Linked DNA regions of Oreochromis niloticus. Each later gene encodes a partner of the first gene's protein in a complex. Links are inferred from orthologs where the notes say so. Each region holds a gene or a part of one and is shown in the gene's direction. Other genes may lie near its edges. The genes, in order: dr1, yeats2 and mbip.

Evidence for each region.
Region 2: dr1 (region 1) and yeats2 share a complex: the UniProt entries of both Homo sapiens proteins name them as parts of the ADA2A-containing complex. The link is inferred for Oreochromis niloticus from reciprocal best matches to the Homo sapiens genes DR1 and YEATS2.
Region 3: dr1 (region 1) and mbip share a complex: the UniProt entries of both Homo sapiens proteins name them as parts of the ADA2A-containing complex. The link is inferred for Oreochromis niloticus from reciprocal best matches to the Homo sapiens genes DR1 and MBIP.

The regions. Positions count from the first base shown.
Region 1 is NC_031986.2:31,177,622-31,185,054, reverse strand, and holds the start of dr1 (protein Dr1), read left to right. Parts: upstream 1-4,408; 5' UTR 4,409-5,098; coding exon 5,099-5,318; intron 5,319-5,440; coding exon 5,441-5,604; intron 5,605-6,471; coding exon 6,472-6,618; 3' UTR 6,619-7,433. Other genes in the region: zgc:109982 (retinol dehydrogenase 8), read left to right, coding at 82-178, 952-1,113, 1,212-1,391, 1,468-1,561, 1,942-2,125, 2,210-2,440. UniProt on the Homo sapiens protein: The association of the DR1/DRAP1 heterodimer with TBP results in a functional repression of both activated and basal transcription of class II genes.
Region 2 is NC_031982.2:14,309,254-14,316,853, reverse strand, and holds the start of yeats2 (YEATS domain-containing protein 2), read left to right. Parts: upstream 1-4,549; 5' UTR 4,550-4,767; intron 4,768-4,834; exon of another isoform or gene 4,835-4,854; intron 4,855-5,162; 5' UTR 5,163-5,168; coding exon 5,169-5,268; intron 5,269-5,389; coding exon 5,390-5,487; intron 5,488-5,616; coding exon 5,617-5,709; intron 5,710-6,679; coding exon 6,680-6,913; intron 6,914-6,993; coding exon 6,994-7,106; intron 7,107-7,600. UniProt on the Homo sapiens protein: Chromatin reader component of the ATAC complex, a complex with histone acetyltransferase activity on histones H3 and H4. YEATS2 specifically recognizes and binds histone H3 crotonylated at 'Lys-27' (H3K27cr).
Region 3 is NC_031983.2:18,731,577-18,738,561, reverse strand, and holds the start of mbip (MAP3K12-binding inhibitory protein 1), read left to right. Parts: upstream 1-3,875; 5' UTR 3,876-3,928; coding exon 3,929-4,048; intron 4,049-4,892; coding exon 4,893-5,009; intron 5,010-5,192; coding exon 5,193-5,399; intron 5,400-5,940; coding exon 5,941-6,037; intron 6,038-6,384; coding exon 6,385-6,450; intron 6,451-6,583; coding exon 6,584-6,742; intron 6,743-6,985. UniProt on the Homo sapiens protein: Inhibits the MAP3K12 activity to induce the activation of the JNK/SAPK pathway. Component of the ATAC complex, a complex with histone acetyltransferase activity on histones H3 and H4.

The DNA.
Region 1 (7,433 bases):
ATGTGGCCTGCTGCCTCTCCTCTTTTGTTCTCGTTTTATTCTCTACTGCTGGAGCTGCAAGAAAAGCACTAACCAGGCACGATGAACCAGAAGGTGGTACTCATCACCGGCTGCTCCTCTGGGATTGGCCTCGCATTGGCTGTCCATATTGCAAAAGATGAGAAGAAGAGGTTCATGGGTAACTTTTTAACAGACTTTTTCTAAGATAGCTGGGGTTGTTGACTACATTTCAAAACCCTGTGTCAGGAGGGATCAAAGGGAATCAAAGAAAAATATAATGTATTCAAATTGTGATTGAAAATGCTTCAAATGACAGAAATTAGAGGAAATATGTGGAAAAAAAAACTAGCACATAAGGGTGTAAAACATAATGGTGTTTTTCTTTTTGAATTTTTTGGAAGTGTGTAGGATGTTTTAAAATATTACCATCTCACATGTACTTGAACTTTACTTGAACTTTACATGGCTGCTGTGTCTGGCTCAATAATTTCTACTATGAACACTTTGCAGACTATTCATTAAAGTTAACTGTGTAAATGTAATACCATTTTGAAACCATTCACTAGAAAGATATTTACTTGATCAAATTCACATTATTTACATTATCAATATGTAATGGGTTTCTTCTACAAACAAAATATTGGTAAGTTCTTTTTTTAAAACTCTGGTTCCAGAAACAATCCACACAGCTCACCATCAACAGTTTTTATCTTAAACGTGTTTTATGGAAGAAATGGTCCTCCTGGTCTGTGGATTACCCTGAGTAACTATTAACCATGTCGTACTGATGTAACAGGCAACACCTGAAAGATGAAATCTGAGAAAAATCCACATTTGCCGCTCCTGGTGGAGATAAATTGTGATAGTTTCTCAAATGTAATGTAAAATTTTAATTTCAGTTCTGAATTCAATAAAAACACAACAGCTTCAGACGAGTTTTTGTTGTTGTAGTCTATGCCACCATGAGAAATCTGAGTAAGGCTGAGCCTCTGGTTGAGGCAGCAGGTCGGACCCTGGGCCGGACCTTGGAGATCAAGCAGCTGGACGTATGTGACGAGGCTTCCATCAAAGCCTGCGTGGACAGTCTGCCTGAGCGCAGGGTAGACATTCTCAGTAAGCTCCTACCATTTGCTTCAAAACAGTATTAATTTGGCTTTTCGACTGTCTATGGAAATTTAAATGATATGTGTGTATGTGACCTTATTTCACAGTAAGTAATGCTGGGATGGGTCTGATTGGACCCATTGAGTGTCAGTCTATTGAAGAGATGAAAAGTGTCATGGACACCAACTTCTTTGGACTTGTGCGATTACTAAAGGAAATCCTGCCCGACATGAAGAGAAGGAAAAAAGGTCATATTGTGGTCATTAGCAGCGTCATGGGGATTCAGGGTAAGAGCTGCTTCACCTGCTGATCACGAGAACATTTTTTAAGACAGTTGCTTCACAACTTCTTTCCCTGTTTCAGGGATTTTATTCAACGATATCTACGCAGCATCTAAGTTTGCATTGGAAGGCTTTTGTGAAAGCCTAGCGATACAAGCCCTGAGGTTTGGTCTGAAGTAAGATACTAAGTCTATAATGTTTTATTCCTGTTCATCTTTTACTGGCATTTTTGTGAGAAAAAAAGTGCAACAAAAACTAAACTACCTGAAAACCAGCCCTTGCATCTGGTATATTTGTGTAGTCATATTGCACAACAACACCTACCCCTTTCTGCACCATTAGGAGGAAAATATGCAAACCACAGCACACTGTGATGTTTAGGCATGTTCTAACACAGTATCAAATGGTAACTGAATTTTAGTGTGGTTTCTAAAGTTTCCTGTATAATGAAAGTAATATTTAATTACCTTTCACAGTTGTGCACTGAACTCAAGTTTCCTATTTCAAGAGATTTTTCCATGTTTTTTAATGTTCTTCTCTTCTATTTCTTCCTCAGCATCAGCCTGATAGAGCCAGGTCCAGTGATAACCGAGTTTGAGCGTAAGGTTTATGACGAGGGCCTAAAGATTGATCTCAGCAAAGCAGACAAAGTGACTGCTGACATGTTCACAAATGTCTACTTAAAGAACTACAAACAGATCTTTGAAACCCTCGGACAGACTCCTGAGGACGTGGCAGAGGTATCGTTCAGCAAATACTTCACCTTTAACCTTTAATGCACTACAAGAGCAATAAACTATATTATGAATGATCTTTCTTCGTAGCACACCCTCAAGATCATCATCATGGACAATCCCCCTTTCCGGCACCAGACAAACACTCTCTATACCCCTATGACCACACTCAAGTACGCTGACCCAAATGGTGACCTCCCGATTGAAACGTTTTACAAAATGGTGTTTGAACACGACAAGGTCTTCACTGCCAGCCTGAACTTCATCAAGCTTTTGCACTGGAGAAGCCGAAAGAGTTTTAAGTTAGAGAAGAGCAACTGAATCATGTCATATCTTTGTTATTTTTGTGACATGGGCATATTTGGCTGTTATTGTCTAGCAGTGTTACCTCCCTGAAATAAATAAAGCTATGAAATGCCATGACAATGCAGTCTCTTTTCATACGTGGCAGTAAGCTCCTGCAGGTTTAAACCACACCCTGGTGCATTCAAGTAGCATAACTGTCTTAAGTTGACAAGCCCTTGAGCCTTGTGTCATATGGGAAGCAAGCAAAGTTATACGAACAGCAAGATTAAATCAAAGTAAATCAGGTAGTTCGGAGTTATAACGACTAATTTATGAACTTTTTTTGTCTTTTTAAAAGCATTGTTTTGTTAATGGGTTCTGTTACAGTGTCAGAAGATTATGTATATCTTACATAATCTTAACAAATTTCCCACGTGTGTGACTAATAAAGGTTATCTTATCTTATCTTAAGCTGCTGGATTACATAACATAATTACTCATGGCTTAATCTGGAATATAGCCGTTGAATTCTGAGTCTCGCACCACGTGGACTTTAATGTGAGAAAACTTTTATGTATTTATTTTTTGTATGATATTGACAGGATTTGGTCAGAAAATTAAGCATGTTAGAATATAAAAAGAAAATAACAAAATAAAAGCTGGTATTCTCTTGGTGGACACTAGATGGCAGTAAACAATTATTAGGAAATTCAAACACCTGTGAAACCAGTCTGGATGCTGCTGAATATTGATAAGTCTAAAAATAAAATTGCAGAAACAGGGCCATAAATTACTGTGGCTCGAATTTGTTTCAGCAAGATCTGTGCTTGTGCTGAGAAAATATACATAAAAAAGCATTAGTAGACATGTTATCAGACGTACCCTTCCGGGGAGGAGATCACAGGGTTAAAAGAGATGCTCTTGATAATTATGTTTACCATAGGAGGGTAACATACAGTACTGTACAAAGATACTGGTTCACTACACGAACCAGTGTTGTGTAAACACATAACAGACAGCTTAGCAAAGAACCCATTCTAAACTGTGTCTTTAGGCACTTTGTTACTAGCAGCCTGTCGCCAAAGCACATAATTTGTTTCCATTTCTTTAGCTGAATCTACAGAAAATACCAAAGATAACACAATTTGACAGACATAAAATAGTGTTGTTGCACCAACAATGTGATTCCCAGTGAACTATTGGGCGAAAACCTGGCATATTGCGGCACTGTGTGCAGTTTTTTTTGGTGATAAAACTGGACAAGTGGAGGACAAAAGAAGAAGTGGAAGGTCTGAAAAACTGTGTACAGCAGATGAAAAGTCTCTGGAAGTCATGTCCTTAAGTAATACCGTCCAAAAAAATCCAGCAAAGACTATCAGTTGATCCATGAACAGAAGCTTCATTAGAAAAGGTTTCACTGGAACTATGGAAACAGGGAGAAATGGCTGAACTGGACTGAAGATCAGTGGAAACAGGTCTTATGGAGTGGTGAATATGAAAAACAAACAAAAAAAGTGAAATTCAGGAGATAGGTACAACCATGAGTGTCTAGAGTAATCTGTAAACTATAGTGAAGACTCTGTCATGATTTGAGTTTGCCTTTCAGCCAGTGGTGTACAGGATTTCTTCAAAATTGATAGAATTAGAGTCGGATTTTGATCTTCCACACAATACCATCTGGAAAGCACCTGATTGGCAACAGCTTCATATTTTAAAGATAATGTAGTAAAAACATACCTGGATATAAAACTCACACAATCATCTATGGATTGGCCTCATCTTTTATATTTTGGAGGCGAGGTGCATATGGGATGTGGTCCTCTGACTGTATACGAAATATTACTGTAGCTACCATCAAAATATATAGATAATGTAAGAAAGTACATATTCAGTTTATTTGTTTTGTTTTGTTTTTCCAGCATGTGTATTAATTCCCCAAGCATATGTTTTAAGGGCAGTAATGGACGACAACTACCACAAGGCCACAGCAATGCGACTCGAGGGGATTCAGACAGGCTTTAAACACCAAAGAAGAAGAATGGTATCCGGCTCTTTGTTTGACGTTGCATCCGGACTGAATCAAGCTAATGTTGCCCACATTTCAAACGTATAAAAGAATCGATACCATGTTTCTGCTTATCTGAAATGTCCGAATCATCTCTCGATGCAGGATAGAACAACAGGCAGTGTTGTGGCACGTGTGTCCTGTTTCTGTGTCTATGCAGCTAACTGTTTAGCCATGCGGGAGGCACTTCATTGTTAGCTTAGCGGTAGCCATGCTCTCCGCTTTCACTTGTTTTTTGCGTTGCGGCTTTCTGGCGACAGGGACCACAGCTACTAGCTAGCCTGGCTGCTAGCTAGCTAAGCACTTTTCACACAGTATTAACCTTTTGTCTTCTTTTTTGGTGTATGTGCTTTAGCGTTTTCTAACGGTTTCTTTTCTACCACATTCCTTACAAAGGCTCTACTCTGCGGAAATTGTTTCAACTATTAGCTAATAGCTAAGCTAGCCGGCTAACTTGGAGGAAGCGTCACTCTCCTACATGACATTTAACTCTGTGTTGACGTTGTCTTGACCTGACCGTTATATTTTAATTCTGCCGACACGAGAAGGCCTCCTAACAGTTTCCTTCCGTCGAGAATCGGAGTTGCTGTTTCTTTTTTTTTCTGGTTTCTGTCCCGTCGTCTGCCACGATGGCTTCTTCCTCTGGAAATGACGATGACCTCACCATCCCGAGAGCAGCTATCAACAAAATGATTAAAGAAACTCTCCCCAACGTACGGGTGGCCAACGATGCCAGGGAGCTTGTAGTTAACTGCTGCACAGAGTTCATCCACCTCATATCCTCAGAAGCCAATGAAATATGCAACAAGTCGGACAAGAAAACCATTTCCCCAGAGCATGTCATCAACGGTGAGTCCAGCTTTGTTTTCCCTGTACCCTGAAAGGTGTGTGTATGTGTGCAGCACCATGTAATGAGCCTTAAACCACAGAGAGTAATTAAAACACTTTCGCCTCTTGCTTTCGCACCGCAGCGCTCGAGAGCCTCGGTTTCGCATCGTACATCACGGAGGTGAAAGACGTGCTGCAGGAGTGTAAAACTGTTGCCCTGAAGAGGAGGAAGGCCAGTTCGAGACTGGAGAACCTGGGCATCCCTGAAGAAGAGCTCCTTAGGCAACAACAGGAATTGTTTGCAAAGGTATGATTTTGAGAGAGGCGTCACAAGAAACAGTAGCTCAGGGAACTAACTTCCATACCAGGTCATTTAGTCTAACCCTGAGGGGCCTTTTAATAATTAAGTTTAAAAAACAGCAAAGACATAATAAAATGATAAAAAGCAACTGTTAGAAAATGTCCAGGTGCTTCCAACAGCCACTGAACTGAGCATAGCTGTTTTTGAAGTTATGACTAGAGGAAATCATTTTGTGCTGCTTTCAGAGCCCACGAAAACAGTGGAATTGAAAATGTGAATTTATTGCTGCCAAACTGTGTTCTAAAAATAATTAAACAAACCAGCACAAATATGATTGCTCAGAAATGTTATAATAAACAAAATTATTGGACCAGAACTTCACATTATGTAGGGATCTGAGTTTTGATGAAGTAGGTCTTTTGCGATTGGTCTTTTGTTTTGTGCTAAGTTCCTTAGGAAATGAGTAAGCCTTTAGAGAGAAATACAACAAAGCCATGTCCGATTTAAATCATCTGTGTGCTGAGTGGCTGTTACACATAACCACTTGAGGCACATTATTTGCACTATACTGTTCACTAATGCATGACAGATCCATTTAGTTAACTTTCAGCAGTACTTTGCTAATTATTAACTCAATCCCTTTCTAGAAACAAGTATAAGCAAGTATAATTCAGCGATAGTAATATGTTGCAGACACTTTATTTTAATTTTTTTTTCCAATGTTCAGTGCTTATAATGACATACCACGAAAATGTCTTAAAATATTCAAGTTCTAATTAAACATCAGATATCAACCACCATGAGCTTCTCTAATTGCCTGATATAATCCTCATTCACCTTCGCCTGTCTCGTGTCTCTCTTGTGTTTGTGAAGGCGCGACAGCAGCAGGCAGAACTCGCTCAGCAGGAATGGTTGCAGATGCAGCAGGCCGCCCAGCAGGCACAGATGGCGGCAGCATCTGCCACTGCTGCCCAACAGGCCGGTTCCTCTCAGGATGAAGACGAAGAGGATGACATATGATCCCAGGATACTGTTCAGCTTGTCCGAATCCCTTCCTGGGACAGTGTTGGCGGGCAAACCTCCCAGTGCTGTTGTTGACAGAGACTTGAGATGTGTTTGACCGCTGGTGCACATCAGTGACACAAGGAAAATGCACATTTGGTATTGACAGTGGAGATGGAGTTGGAGGGGAATGTCAACATGATGATACCAGAACCTGAAATTTGTTTGGTTTGAAAAGCTGTTAATAAAATTTTGATTATCCCCCTGCCCCCCCCCCCCCCCTTTTTTAAGTTACTTCCGTTTAATTAAGTCTTGATGTTATGTTGTGAGTAATTTGTAGATTTCTGGATGTACTGTGGATGCACTGAAGGCACATTTCACTGAAGTTTGGTGATGGTGCAGCAGGTGTTTGCTCTTTCAGGTACTGCACCAACTAGCTTGTTTATGTCAACCATAGTGCTAGATAACAATCAGTGGTGTAGGCGAATCGCTCCTGACGACTCCAGAGCATCTAATTCCTCTTCTCTTGGTCTTTGCCATTTTGTCAAAAAGGGTTTTCTTTACCCCTCTGTGGAGTTATTTGTTCGACAGTGGAAGGATTGAGGGGCCGTGAATATTGAAATTGTACTATTAAATAATGAAAAATACATTTTTGTTTTAGCTTATTCAGAAACGTTATGTTGTTTCCTTTCTACCTTGAACTACACACAGTATTGGTTCTTAGCTGCACCTTTGAAAAACTGAATATTTTTGTCTGATAGAACCAAAGATAGACTAACAGCCCAGAGTTCGTGTTTTGTTTTCTTTTTAAGGTGTAGGTGCTACTGTGATTC
Region 2 (7,600 bases), on another chromosome or scaffold:
TCATCACCTCACTTTTTACAGTCAGCCTTGCTAATGCCTTCTAAGCTGTATATTTTGCTCCTTTTTAATTATTATTATTTCACTCATTATTGCCTTTTTTTGGTAAGTTATATTTATCCGTGCCTATTTTTTTATAATTGGATGTTTATTGTATGATAAGTAGTTAGGTCGACGTTAATCCATCGGTGTACTGGGCTTGTGGGGTGGTTTTGTGGATGTGAAGCCTTTTGTGGATCAAACTTGTAGACTGCTCTGAATAAATGGTGTGCATGTCTGGTGTGTGTGTGTGTGTCTGTGTGTGTGTGTGTGTGTGTGTGTGTCTGTGTGTGTGTAAGGATATTGTGTGACTTTTACTGCTTGGTCTGGATGCTTTGGGAGCCACGCAGGTTTATCACAGAGTTGTCGTGCAATGCTGCCACATCTCACCTGTACACTTACATGTAAAGATGTAACTCGGGGTAACCATAGATACCTCCAGGTGTGTATGCGTGTATGTGTGTTGAATGGTCAGCTAAGGTGGCGGGTGCGGCAGTGCTGGCCCTCACACCGTTGGCGGGTTTAAGAGTTGAATGATGAGGATTTTGGATGGTGTGGCTCTTGGTCAGTAAAAGTCACCTTTTAATACAATTGGTGTTGATAGATTGCTGTGAATATACAGTTAACTTTGTTTTCTTTAACTTGTATTTAAATGTATCTTTGTATCCTTATTTGCATAATATGTTCTCTTGAGAGCCCCAATTGTGCACTTTGACAGAATCCTGTTAAATGTAGAACTTTATGACAATGATTTCCTTTTTTACTGTATCAGTAAATGTTCTTTGCTTTCATGTGACGTATAGAAAAGAGAGTGAAAAGGGCCTGTCAGCTCCTCCTGTTGGCCACTGCCTCCTACGCTTTGATGCGCTGAAAAAACCAGCAAATATTGCTGCAAAGGAGGCAGTGTCGTCATAACAGTTTCAGTTTTCAAATTTTAGGGATTTTTGAATTTGTCACTCAGCACCATTACGTAATATCCTTTAAGAACAGCTCAGGTCATACTTCACCTGTCAGGTATGATAACAAAAATATGTAGGGGGAAGTTGTTGGTTTTTTTACATAAACATTCTTCACATTCCTCCAAATGGAGGTCAGGTTAAGGAGCAGTACAGGTGGAAAAATGAAGCACCTCCTGATTCACCTGCTTGCAGAAGTCAGGAGGAGCGACGGGTTGAGTTGGGGGGCAGGAAAGCGGAAAGGCAGAAGCATGGGAGTGAGAAAGTGAGAATCTGAGTGTGTGTGCGTCTGTGATTTCACTGAGTATTTACTCTTAAGTAGGGCACAAACTCATGTTGTGCTGATTTATTGATTTTCATTAATGTCTTTCATGTATTATTGACTTCTGATAAGAATATCCATCGTTTTGTTTTTTTGTGTGTGTACTGTTTTGTTTTGTTTTTAAATCTTTTGCTTGTTGTGGTGAGTTGTGGGATCGCGTGTTGCTGAGAACATAAAAAGGACGTGCAGCAGATTACACCCAAAAAACCTGAGGGTTACAAGTTGCTCACCAGAGTTAAATATTAACACAGATAAGAGCCACATTTGAGACAATCCTGAAGTCAGTCTTGTTGGAAAAGCACCACCTGTGCCTTGCCTTGATGTCAAGAGATGTAACCCCTTAAGTGCTGCCCTATGTGCCTTAACCAGAGATTAACGAGTGAGCAATTACATCAGATAATTGTGATATACACTGCTATTATTGTGTGCATGATGTGTGATACTTTTACAACACTTTTCTTGTGCTCTTTGTTTTTTAAAAAAAAGCTTTCAATTTTTGTAAAATGCAGTATGTTGAATTGTAATGGTTGAGTTGTTTATGAGAAACGTCAATAAAGTTTTTCTTAATGTATCAAAGCTTTGCTGTGACTCATCATTGTTAACAAATGAAAGTCTACAAGAAAACAGTGATGCACCTGTTCAGATGCTCATTAATGCAAATTCCTGCTGTGATAGCCTCAGTGTCTCGCTCTTAGCTGACAGGAGTGTCACCTGGTGCGGTCTTCTGCTGCTGTAGCCCATCTACTTCCAGATAGGGCGTGTTGTGCATTCAGAGATGCTCTTCTGCAGCCTGTGATTGTTAACAGGTGATGATTTGAGTTATTGTTGCCTTCCCGTCATCTTCAAGGTTTATGGCCATTGTCCTCTGACATCGACGAGGCCTTTTTGCTCAGAGAGCTGCCGCTCACTGGATATTTTCTGTTTTTTGGACCTTTCTCTGTAAACACCAGAGATGACTGTGTGGGGAAATCTCAGTAGATCAGCGGTTTCTGAAATACTTATTCCTTTCTTGAACTTCAGCAGCTCATTCATGGCAAAACGCATTGAATTGCTGCCATGTTAGGCTGATTAGATATTTGCATTAGGTAATGAGCAGCTGAACAGGTGTAACTGACAAAGTGGCCACTAAGTAAATTGTCAAACATGTTCATTACATTGAGGATCGTCTTCATGCCAGCAGTGGAGGTAACTCCTCCAAGAGAAGATATCCTGATTTTTATGTTCCCTTCTCAAACAAAATATAAAGTTTTCACTCAGTTTTACAGAAATCAGAAGGCTGAGATGAAAAGCGATTCTTGTGGTCAGTGTGACGCATGCGATAAATGTGCCCCGAGAAGTTGTGCTTTTTCTCAATCAAGCGATCGTGAGCACATCCGTTTTCACAACAGACCAGCCATAAAACGAATGGAAACAAAGTGATTTATGTATTTCATCGAAACCACAACTATTGTCCCACAAATATCCATGAAGATGTCACAAAAGAAGAGATGCGCCATTTGGGTTTTGTTGCAAGTTGTAGCAATCTGCTCCACAGAGCTGTGGACACTGTATTCACCAAGGGATGAGTCAATCACGCTGGTGATGTTTTAATGAGTCATTGTGCTGAACAAGGGGACAGTGTTTAAAAGCAGCCGCACTTTTTAAAGTAGGATTGAGCAACCCATGCTTTATTATCAGGCCCTTTTTATTTAAGTCTCATGTGATTTATATTCTCCATATTATGCTTTGGTTTAATGAAAACCACAAAGAATCCTCTCACAGATTCTTACCATCTCGCTACATTTACACCAAACATTATGGGAAAAATTGAAGCCATGCCTTACCCATACATCTGTGTTCTGATTTATGCAAAGAGCTCATCAGGGACATGCATTCTCAGACAGGATAATGCTATACAGTACATTAATCAGCTGTGATTATAAGATTTTTGGCACTGACAGCATGCTGTCACCTCAGTTATCCAGCTGAGTGCCAGCTACTATAAATTACTGAGGATGCCAACTCTGTGGTACAGCTGCAGGCCTGATCTGGTTTGAGTAAAATGCTAGGTTCTTGGCCCTGGCAGGAAAGGGCCAGAGGTTGGAGTAGTGCTGCAGCTCTCAGCCCACCTGCTCACCCACTGAGCTAAAGAGACATCCATATTAATTAAAACTTGACTGGAAAATACTGCAACTAGAGGCACATTTACACACTCACATGTGCACATCTCCAGGTCTCTCTTGGAAATGAGATTTTTAATCTCAAGTGAGATTTTGACCTGGATCAATAAAGGACTAATAATAATTTTAAAAAAAAGTCCAGGTCTCCAAAAATCCCCATTTCAAAATACATGAAAAGCTGAAAGGAGTGTTTTGTTGTTTTGATTAATGTACTTAGAATATGTAAATTGATCAACTGATGGCGGTTAAATCATGAGGTTAAAGTATCAGTATCGAATTTCATGTTGGTATCGACAATACTGGCGCTGTATTTACTTCGGATCCACAGGAAATTTAACAGGATGTTGTTTGATCTTCTTCTCTGCTTCATTAAAAGGAAATGTGAACGTGATAGGACAATTCATTGCAAGAGAGCAGCAAAGTAATGTGTAACACTGAAAAGGTGCCCATAGGTGTAGAAGTTATAGAAAAGGTTTGTTTGGAGTGGCTTTCTAGCAACACCTGTTTTCTGTTTAATTGCCTTTAGAATCACATGTTTACTGTGTAACTGATGTCTGATGAAGTGTGAAGCTCCGCTTAAGCTAAATAAGATGAACTGATCCCCTTCTTGTCTGGTGTTGTTTGCCTTCTAATTCGTGGCATGCAGCCTGTCAGCGGTTACAAGCTTAAACATGTTAGACTAATAGTAACCTATGATAGTTAGAATATCGCATGCTCATACACGGGGTTACTCAACTCTGTAATGTAATGTAATACCTCCAAAGAGTTCCACTGAATCAGACACAAAAAAAACTTCCTGCAGTGATAACACTGGAGTAAAATCCCCGTAAAGTTCTTTAGAATAGACCATGATGGCTGGTTGTAATGAAGTTTGACAGGTATGCATGCCATCTTCACCGCTGTTTATGAATATCTTGTCAGAGTAGTTAGTTTACTAAGGGCTTGTAAGACGGGTTACGCTGTTGATCACGACAATAAAACATCCTTTCCAGGGAAGCAATCTTCTGAAAGGTGACAATACCTATCATTCCACGCCTCGTTTTCAATCAACTTGGTAGAACAGCGGTCCCTTGTGGCTGTTTGGCTAAACTGCAAGGCTAACTATCCACTATTTAGTTAGCTTACTTGTAGAGCTCGAGATTTAGCAATTCCCTAAACACGAGTGTGGTCTGAGTATACTAAAAACGCAACGGATATGCTCACGTTGAATTAAAAAAACACACGCCTTTCAAAGAAACGTTGCTCCACATCACAGAGTACTCCTGAAAATTTGCATTTTGTACAGCCTGAACCGGTATGTATGTACAACTGTGTGCTAACGTTAGCTAAATTAGCAAGGTTAGCGGTTGCTAACGTCAGAGAACTGTTGGCTGTATGGACGGTATGTGTATATTTATTTATCATATCGGTGGTGAGACACACTAAAATGCGATGTGCATTCTTGTTAAATGAATCTTAGACAATTGGTCGACAGTTTGAAATAGCTTGGTAGGTAGTGGACAGCCTGCTAACTCATGTTGGCATACCTGTTTGGCTAATCAGTACTGAGGTTAGCTGTGGGCATTGCTGTCAATTATCTATAGCTTCCCTGCTATGCAGCTAATTCTGTGCTAAGTGCATAGCAAATCATGTACATCACAGCATATAAGTGATTAGCTACACGTTTTCTAATTATAGCCTTCTTTACAGGAAGCCATGTCGGGAATTAAAAGGAAGATAGAGGGCAATGATCCCGACTATGAGGACGTTTCTCTGGTCCAAAACAGTAAGAGAAACAAGGCGGCTGAACATAGTGGTAAGTTCATGCTCTGAACCCTGAGCCAGTACACTTGCTTTGCTTGTTGTGGTCAAAATTAGCTATCAGTTGTGCCCTGGTCTTGTAGATATGTTCATTCCCTCTTCCCTATTTTATCCAGCTCGAGAAGCAACAGTTCAGAAGATTGAAACCATCATCAAGGAGCAATTTTCTTTGGAGATGAAGAACAAAGAGCATGAGATAGATGTGATAAGTCAGGTATTCAGATGATACTTTCTTTTAAATCTGTATTTTACTTGTTACTGCATAAAAACTTAACATGGACAATAACTTGGAGTTAAGTGTAATATTCAGCATGCCGGCTCACTGTTTTTCTTTGCTTTGCAGCGTCTTAATGAAGCCAGGAGGATGATGGACAAGCTCAGGGCATGCATAGTAGCTAATTACTATGCCAGTGCTGGACTGACAAAGCTCTCAGAGGTAAATTCCCATTCATTTGGACACAGAGTTTGATGATACAGCCTCAAAATTATATGATGATATTTGAAGAAAATTTGCAAGAAAAATATTTCTGACAGCGCAGGAAAAAATATACCAAACAACATTTTATTGATGTTTGCAGGTTGCAGCATTTATAGGTGTAGTGAGTTAAAGGTATTTTGTATTATGCTATTCTAATGAGCTGCAGTCATTGTTGGCAATCTTAGTAATTTAAAGTATTTATCTTGTGAAACAGGTTGCCGGCATCAGCATTGTAGTGCAATAGTAGCGGTACACAGCAAGTCAAATGTACACACAACAGTAGCCCTAGCTATTGTTTCCCCTGGGAAGTAAAAAATATAAAATAACACTTTAACTGAACAGTTGTTAAACTAACTTAACTATGTAAATCTTAATATTCTTTTCCACCTGGGATGTTGTTTCTTATGTAGAGCTTTTTCACCAGTTGCTTAAATCACTGTGTTTGTACTGATGCATCCACATTTTTATCTAATCCCCCCCTGTTTGCTTTTCCTGTCATCTGGAGTGCATCTAGCGTGTGAATCAGTGATGCTTGGTGGAGTCTTTTGTTGACATTTAGGTTGCACATCAGCAGCTCTTAGTATCTCCTCCTGTGTAGCCTGGTTGTACTTTATGGTGTTTATTTGCTTCAAGTGGTGAAACACATTTGTAGCTTCCACCTTCAGCTGGAACAGTTTCCTTGCATGTTTTGAAAAATATTGTCCTTTTGTTCAAGGTTGTTGAAATAGATCCCTTTTTAGGTACTAAATTGGCTCCTTAACAGGAACATATCCCGACTGGTCTCATTGTGCCATGCACTATGGATCATAAACAAATGGCATAAAACTTTATAGTGGTGTTATTGCAGACAGTAATAGCCAGCTGTCTGCTGCTCTATGTGGTAGTACAGTATAGAAACACTGACCTAAATTTCTTCTATGTTCCATAGCATACCTCCAAGAGCGACCCTGCTGTGCTGAACCATCCGGCCATCCGACGCTTCCTGGAGTCTCCTTCCCGTTCTTCTTCCCCTCTCAACCAGGGCTCCGAGACTCCATCGTTGGTCCAATCAGAGTCTGAGTCTCTCTCACAGCAAGGAGACGGTGCTGAGAGGAATGGAGAAGGAGCCTGGAGAGAGGAGAGCAGCAGGCAGGAGCGCAGACCCGGACGCAACACAGGCAAAGTAAGTTCAGCTGGCAGAAATTGTGGGTTTTTTGACCTTTTGATGATCGGTGACTAAAAGCGTTGCCTTTGTTGCTGTAGGACACATTCGGTGTGCCGTCGTCTGCAGAGCAGAGAGTGACCTACCACACTACTGGAGACGATGCATCTAGACTTTATGCGAAGAAGACAATCGTAGTGGGAAATGTATCCAAGTACGTAACCAAATTAAAAAATGTCTGTCATTTCTTTGTGACTGATTCAGTAAAAGAACTAGATCTTACAATCCCTGATAATGCATTGGTTCAAATGGAGAAAGTCTTGAGGGATGGCTGTTACGAGGAAAGGCAGCCCAGAAATTTTACCAGCTAGACACATTGTTGTGTGCCTCAACTTTACAGGGTGTTTCGGTCTTTTACCCAGGCTAATCTGCCATTTTTCCTTCCTTGGTTAGGTTTAGGGATTAGAGATCTGATCTAGATTATCATATTAAAAATTTGGGACACATCGTCAGTAGTGGACCTTGGATTCATCGGGTGTTTCGGCCATTATCACTAGACACCCTCATCCAAGGAGGCCCTGCCAGGGTTGATCAGGCCCTGGCTTATGTTAAATTGTTATTTCTCTTTTATGTTATTTCTTTGGTGACTAATTACATTGTAACAGACTTTTCAGATTAGAGGTCAGAATCTTCTTAGTAACTGTAAAA
Region 3 (6,985 bases), on another chromosome or scaffold:
TTTATCTTGAAAGGTGCTATACAAATAAAAACTTTGAATTTACTAATTTACTATTTTTGTTGCCAGTTAAGTAATGGTAATTGACTTACATCCTAAACTATGTTGCTAATCATAAACTTAAACCCGATAAACATGGTACTATTGTCAATAATTGATACTGTATCACCAGCCCGAACGTGTTGGTATCACACAACTCAAGGTCCTGGGGTGAGTGGGAATAGAGGCAGGGAACATCCTCGGCAGGTCACCACTCCATCACAGGGTTCAGCAGAGAGACAGACAACCACACGCTCTTACATCCACACCAATTAACAAGTACAGCTTTGGATGGTGGGAGGACTCCTAAGCACCTAAAAGCACAGTCTAATGACTAGTTGTCTAGTGTAAAAAATAAAAAAATGTATTTGTGTTAAAAAAAAAGTGTTTCTATCAACTGAATAGTTTTATTCTCCAAAATATAATAGCTTTATTTCTTTGTATAAGCCATCACATATAAAAGTCCATCTAATTATATATGTATAAATGCTTGTATATAGATATAGATTTACAACAGTTTATGAACTAGTAGGAGCCCAAATAAACCTTTTTCTGGGACAACAGCCTTAGTATAGGGAGACAAGCGAGGATGTGTGGCAGTGTAACAAGGAGAAACAACAGCAAATAGAAAGAGAACTGCAGTTGATGGGTCTGCCAAACAAAGCAGTTCTTCCACTGTTACACTTCATAGGGAGGATTAGGAGTTCAGTGGGAATCTGTGGCCAAGTGGACAAAAGTGACAGCCCAGTGATTTCCACTATATGAGTGGATATAGAAGACAACAGTACATAAACATTTTACCCTTACAGTTCATGCACATGTAAATACTGCTTATTTTTGCATGCATCATTCCAAAAGTGTTGTAAGAAATGTGCCAAAGCAGTTCAGAAAAAATCTGTAAAAAACAACTGAAATAACTCTCAAATCCAGCACCATGACTACAGTCTTTTTAATGAACATTTTTCTGCAAAATTTACATTTGTTTCCACATATATCTTTTTATTACTTAAAAGCAGTACGTAATGAGCTGATCTGTGGGAAGCTTGGTCCCAAACTCACAAGAAAGGAATACTTTTAATTATTCCTCTCTGGGGGAAATGAGACAAAACCTTCTTACTGCAATCCACTTCGCTCTTTACATTGTGCTGCCTCTTTCTCCTGATCCTCATGTCTGGCCTTTACTCCGTCTCATGCTCTGTCAACATAATCTGCCACCGTGCAGCAGACAGGCTCAAAAGCGGACCTTTTTACTTTCCTGCAGGTGGCTGATGTGACTGAGGCAAGAGGCAGCAACAATCCCTCTTCACTCACTTCCCTCTAACACTAGGACCACCTTATTTCCTGTATAGCACAAATTCCCTCTGCCTGCCAAGAACACATTCTTGTAAAGCAAAGAAAAAAAAATCTTATTAAGTTGCACAAAGAACCATTAAGGTATCCTTGTAACACTTTTCAGCAATTCTCTATAATGGCTTCAGCATTTACAAGCAGTGCATAAATACTTAATAAATGGTTATAAATTGTCATTTTATGTTAGGAATCTACAATTAATATGATTTAATAACAGCAAGAAAAACCAGAGGTCAAATCATTCTCTGGAAACAAGTTAGCGCATTTAAATCAGTTTGCCGTACCTTACTTTCAGCCAATTAGATAAATAAAGTACCACTTATGTTGATGCATCAGTAATAATGACCCTGCCAACAATGACTAAGGCCGTTGTGCATGAACTTTTACTTGTAAAGGAATATTTTTAGGCTGTAGCACTTGTAAATATTTCTTCAGCCACTGGTTTTTTAATCCTCTAAAACTGTTTTTAAGATGTAGGAACATATTAGAGGAAAAGGTGACATTTAAAGATTGTGAATATCTGTAATACTTAGTTTTGGTTTCGAAATGTAAATATAGCTAAATGTAAAAACATTGCGCTCAAGTAGGTTATCATGTTTTTTTAATGGCTCATATAAATGCCTTAAATCACAACTCTTCCCCCGTTAGAAGAATAAACAGCTCTTTGGTCTGAAGCCAGCCAAATTAAATGAGCAGTTTTTTAATTTCTGAGCGCCTTGCTGTGTGGGAACATTCAGCAATAGCTCAGCATGTCAAACCATGTCAAGTGTTACAGTTCCTTCCTGTTTTGGGGGGAAAAATATCACCCCAGAGATGAATTAAAGTAAAAAGGCTTGTCTTCAGACCCCTTCCTAAAATGATTAACCCTCCTAAAGAGCATTATTGAGTTCTGAGTGGTTGTGCCTTCTCTTTGCCTGTAATTGTTCTTTTTCTGTTGTTTCCTTCATCAGTCTCTCTCCTCATTATATGAAAAGAAGGGAAAAATGTCTGAATAGAGGAGGGAGATTTTCCCACAGTCACTCAACACAGAAAAATACGCCATTGTAACCAGGTTCCCATCCCAATGCCCTGCTGCACAGTCCACTGCGGTCAGAGGGACAATATCTTTATAATTGAGTGACCATTCTTTCGCCTGTTTGAAAAGTAAGTGACTGAGAATACAGTTAACGGCACATTTGAGTGAGTTCAGTTTCCAGGGAGCCATGCCTAATACATACATACATATATATATATATATATAAAATTTTATATAGTACAATGTTTTAAACTAAAAGTAATAAAATTGTGGATCATATAAATATACAAGCATTGACATTCTAAACATAAAGTAAAAATTAAATTAGAACAATATTCAGCAGTTATGCTGCTAAACAGATAAACATGCCATAAGACGACAGAGAATAAAATGACTTTAAACATGCTTTAAAAGGCATTAAAAGAGAAAGTTCAGAGACTGGACATCTTTGGGCATTTAATAATATGTTCCAGACGTGGCACTACTTACAGGCTTGTTTTCAGGTAGAGAATACAAGTCATAAAATTATTTTGTTAATATTAAAATAATATTTCATTGTTCGTAGAACTGTCTACCAGTGTATGACGTTAAAACATTAGCTTAATAACTTGACTAGAGGCAATAATAAAATGTTGCTTGACTGCTAATAGATTACTGTATAAAACCACAGGGTCACTAATGCATGAAGAGGGCTATTATAGTTGATGATAGTCATTAATAAGCATATTTGGTTTGGATTTTATGGGAACAGATTGAAGAGAAGTAGAAATAGTTGGGTAAAAGATGAAATGTGCATGATATGTTTGGAAATAAAGCTGTAAAACAGGTTTTTCAAAGTTTTATATAATCAGTTTTTCTATATATAGATGCTCTTAACCACCCTGTGTCGAAGAACAGTTGAAAGATTTTTAAATTTCACATTTTATAACTTTATTTGTTTTTTGTGCTTCTCTATTTGGGTTCTTTTTCGATTTGCTAACATGGAGTCTGATCATATCAAGTATCAAGTATCTAATATCTATATCTACAGAAAACTTATATATACTTATATATATCTATATATATATATATATATATCTATATATATATATATCTATATATCTATATATATATATATATATATATATATATATATATATATATATATATATATATATGAGCTTTCTGTTCCCCTGACGTCCTGTTATATTTTTAGAATGTATTTGTAATTGCAGTTTTTAAAAAGTTGATCCTTGACTTTAAAAATTATGTAAACAATTTTCCTTTCAATCTGTTAAAAGACTGAAAAAGAGAAATGCCTTAAAGCTTTCAGAAATACTTGCACAATACAACCCAGTAAAATTAGTGAATTTAATTTAAGCATTTATCATTACTAGTAATTTTCGCAGTAATATTAATATTCTCACAACTACGGTTGTGTGCGTGTACGCATGCGTGTATGGAGCCTCGACTTCGTTAAGCGCGCACACGCAGGAACCTGCACTCGAACCAATCAGCGCACAGTATTCTTCGGCTTGTCGAACAGCAATGGCGGAGGCAATGAAGCTAAGTAGAAATCATGCTCCTCCCAGTGACTCCAGTAAAATGTCCAGCTATACAGACTGTATGGATTCGTTACTGCAACTGCTAGCAGACTTCGGGGAAGAGGTTTGTTTGGATTGTTTAAGCTGCCTTGTTTCGGACATCGCTCCTTTCAGTCCGGGGTGTTGGCTGGCTGCATGCTAATGTTTTTAGCAATGTGGTGTTAGCAGGGCTGCTTAGCGGACCCACACTGTTCATTCATTGTCACTCACACAGCGCTCTGGTGCTGTTTTTGACAAGCAGGTTGTTGCAAAGTAACTGTGCTTTAAATGGTTCAGTGTTGTTTTGAAAGTAATTTAAGATATAAGATCGAGCTTGTGTCTTGACTGGGCTTAACTAGGCATTCTGTTTCATCAGTAACAGCAAAGTTTCATGTCATTATCCCTGTTGCCGTGCTTTTTTTTTGCATCTCGTATTGGATTGAATACACATCTAAATAAACCTCTTTATCCCATACATGCAGTAAATGATCTCAAGCCCTGTTTTTGTGTGGTAAAGCACAAATAAAATATGCAGTGGATAAAATAAAAGCATCGCCTTTCACTCGCTTTATGAATCTAACTTCATTATTTTCCTAAGTCTGGGGTAACCTTATTTTTAATTATGTATTTATTGACCACCACTGCAAAGCCAATATATATATTTTACAGTGACAAAAAACAGCTGAAAACAAGGGGAAAATAATCCTTTATTCTACATTAAATTGAAGCTGATACCACCAAATGCTTTTTCTTGAACAGTAACAAATCAGTTGCCCAGTTAATTATCAAAAATAATTTATGTATTTTCACATCAATCAATTGTAACTTGCATATATTAGACAAATGTATATATTGTCCTGCTAGCATGCAATTGTATGTTAAATGCTGATTCACAGTAACATCCACACTTTGTCTGTCCTGAAATTAAGCTGAAATTTGGGGATGCTGCTTTGAAAATAGATGTCAACCCCAGCGCTGTGAATCTTCAATCATCTCCACCTGCTCATGTTTACAGCTCATTACAAGGACATATCGCTAAATTACAGGTAAAAACATTAGAGGAATTTTAAGAGCTGACATAGATTATTATGCAGCTTTTTATTGTGTTATCATTGCAAGGGAAAAAAAGTAGATTAGAATTAACAATTTAAAATTTTGAATTTTCGATTATTCTTGGGAGCTTTAAATAATTACATCTAATTCTTCTTTCTGACGTGCTCTTTATTTAGGCTGTTTCAGAAAGCCTAAAGGTGTTGTTGGATGCTGAGGCTGATGCATCCTCTTTCAAGAACACATCAGAAGATGCTGTCACCTCATCTTCAAGCAGCGCACAGACAGCCACGCAGTCTGAGCACCATCCGCACAGCTCCGGGGCTACAGAGAGCAAGGCGGCGGCTGATGACGTCATGGTTCAGATCCGAGCTGGGAAGTCAGAGGTTGGTCGCTGTCAGCAGATCTGTCAGCTGTTCTGGCAGTGAAATTTTAGAGCCCTCTTTACACTCTGTCAAGCAAATGAATAATCATAAGTAATTGCTCCAGAGGATGTGCACATGACGTGCCGCAGCAAAGCAAATGCTTGATGGAGACCTGATAAGCTGAGTTCGGTTGAGAATAAGGGGTCCTTTAGTGCTGCGGTGGGGTAGAACAGACCACATTGCTGGAGGGTTTTGAGAGAGGGCCAGGTCCTTGATGGATTATGAAGTGGATGCTCATTACTCTGAGATTGCATGTGGATGAAGGACAAGAGGCCCCATTCTGTTGTGCATTTATTTTGGTAGCCAAGCAAACAGTATTCATATTCCATCATGTGATGATGGCAAGCAGTTCAACTTTTTTGGCTACCTGGAATTTTCTGAAATGTAAATTGCCGCACCCTATTTGTCCCACATCATTATCATTAAATAGTCAAAAACATAGCATTCTTGCCACCTCATCAATCCATTGTATCTTATTATGTTGTCTTCATTGTAACCCTAGATTGAGCGAAGAATATCTGCATTTATGGAACGCAAGCAGATGGAGATCAATGAAAACAATGTACGCGAGTTTTGCAACGTGATCGACTGCAATCAGGGTGAGAATGGGAGAGAGGTGGGGGGGCAGGGTGGAGAGGGTGCCTGCACACAGATTGCCAATGTTTGGGAGAGAGCTGATTTCCACAGGCGAGAGGTCAGGCTGAACTGCTCCAAGAGTGGGGCTGAAGTAGCTAACACACTCGGCCTCAAAACACAACCCGCTTAGTCCAGAAAAACACGAGACAGAAGAACCTTTTTTAAATTCAAAGCCTGTGTGAGACACCAGTAACAGAAATCAGGAGTAGTTGTTATTCAGGTGTGATATACATATACAGCTTTTGGTAATCATGTTTAATTGCATTTGGTAATTCTAATTGCAATTTATATTAAATGTGATCGTCTGTAGAAAACAGCTGTGCCAGAACAGATGCAGTATTCACTCCTTACCCGGGTTTTAAAAGCCACGTAAAAGGTAAGAAAATGTCACAATTCTTAACAGCTTAATTTTTAAACTATCATTTGTGTAATTAAACTAAAACATGTTGTTAACTAGAATCTGTTTAGGACTGAGTTGTATCTTCTGTGTTTGTTTCTTGGCTGGGCAGTCACACGAGTAGTAAACACTTACGGACCCCAGACCCGTAGTGGGGGAGACCAAGCAGAGGCTGGGGATAAACAGAGGGGGCCGCTGATGAGAGATTGTGGAAATGTAGCCATAGAGGAACGACTCAACAACATCGAGGCTCACCTCAAACTTCCAGCAGGTGAGAGACAGGAAGTTATTGTAAGGCTCAAATTATTTTTGTCTTGTATATAACATTATACATTATATTTAACTGAGAAATTAAATGATACCTTTTATTGGCACTGAATTTTTTACTTATAGTAAGCCTTTATTTATACAGTGATCTATTATTTGGTTTATCTGCTGTTATCAGTCATTCTTTGTTTGCTCCCACAAGTCTTGTGCAATAATAAATTTTCAAACTGTTCAACAAGTGTTTTAC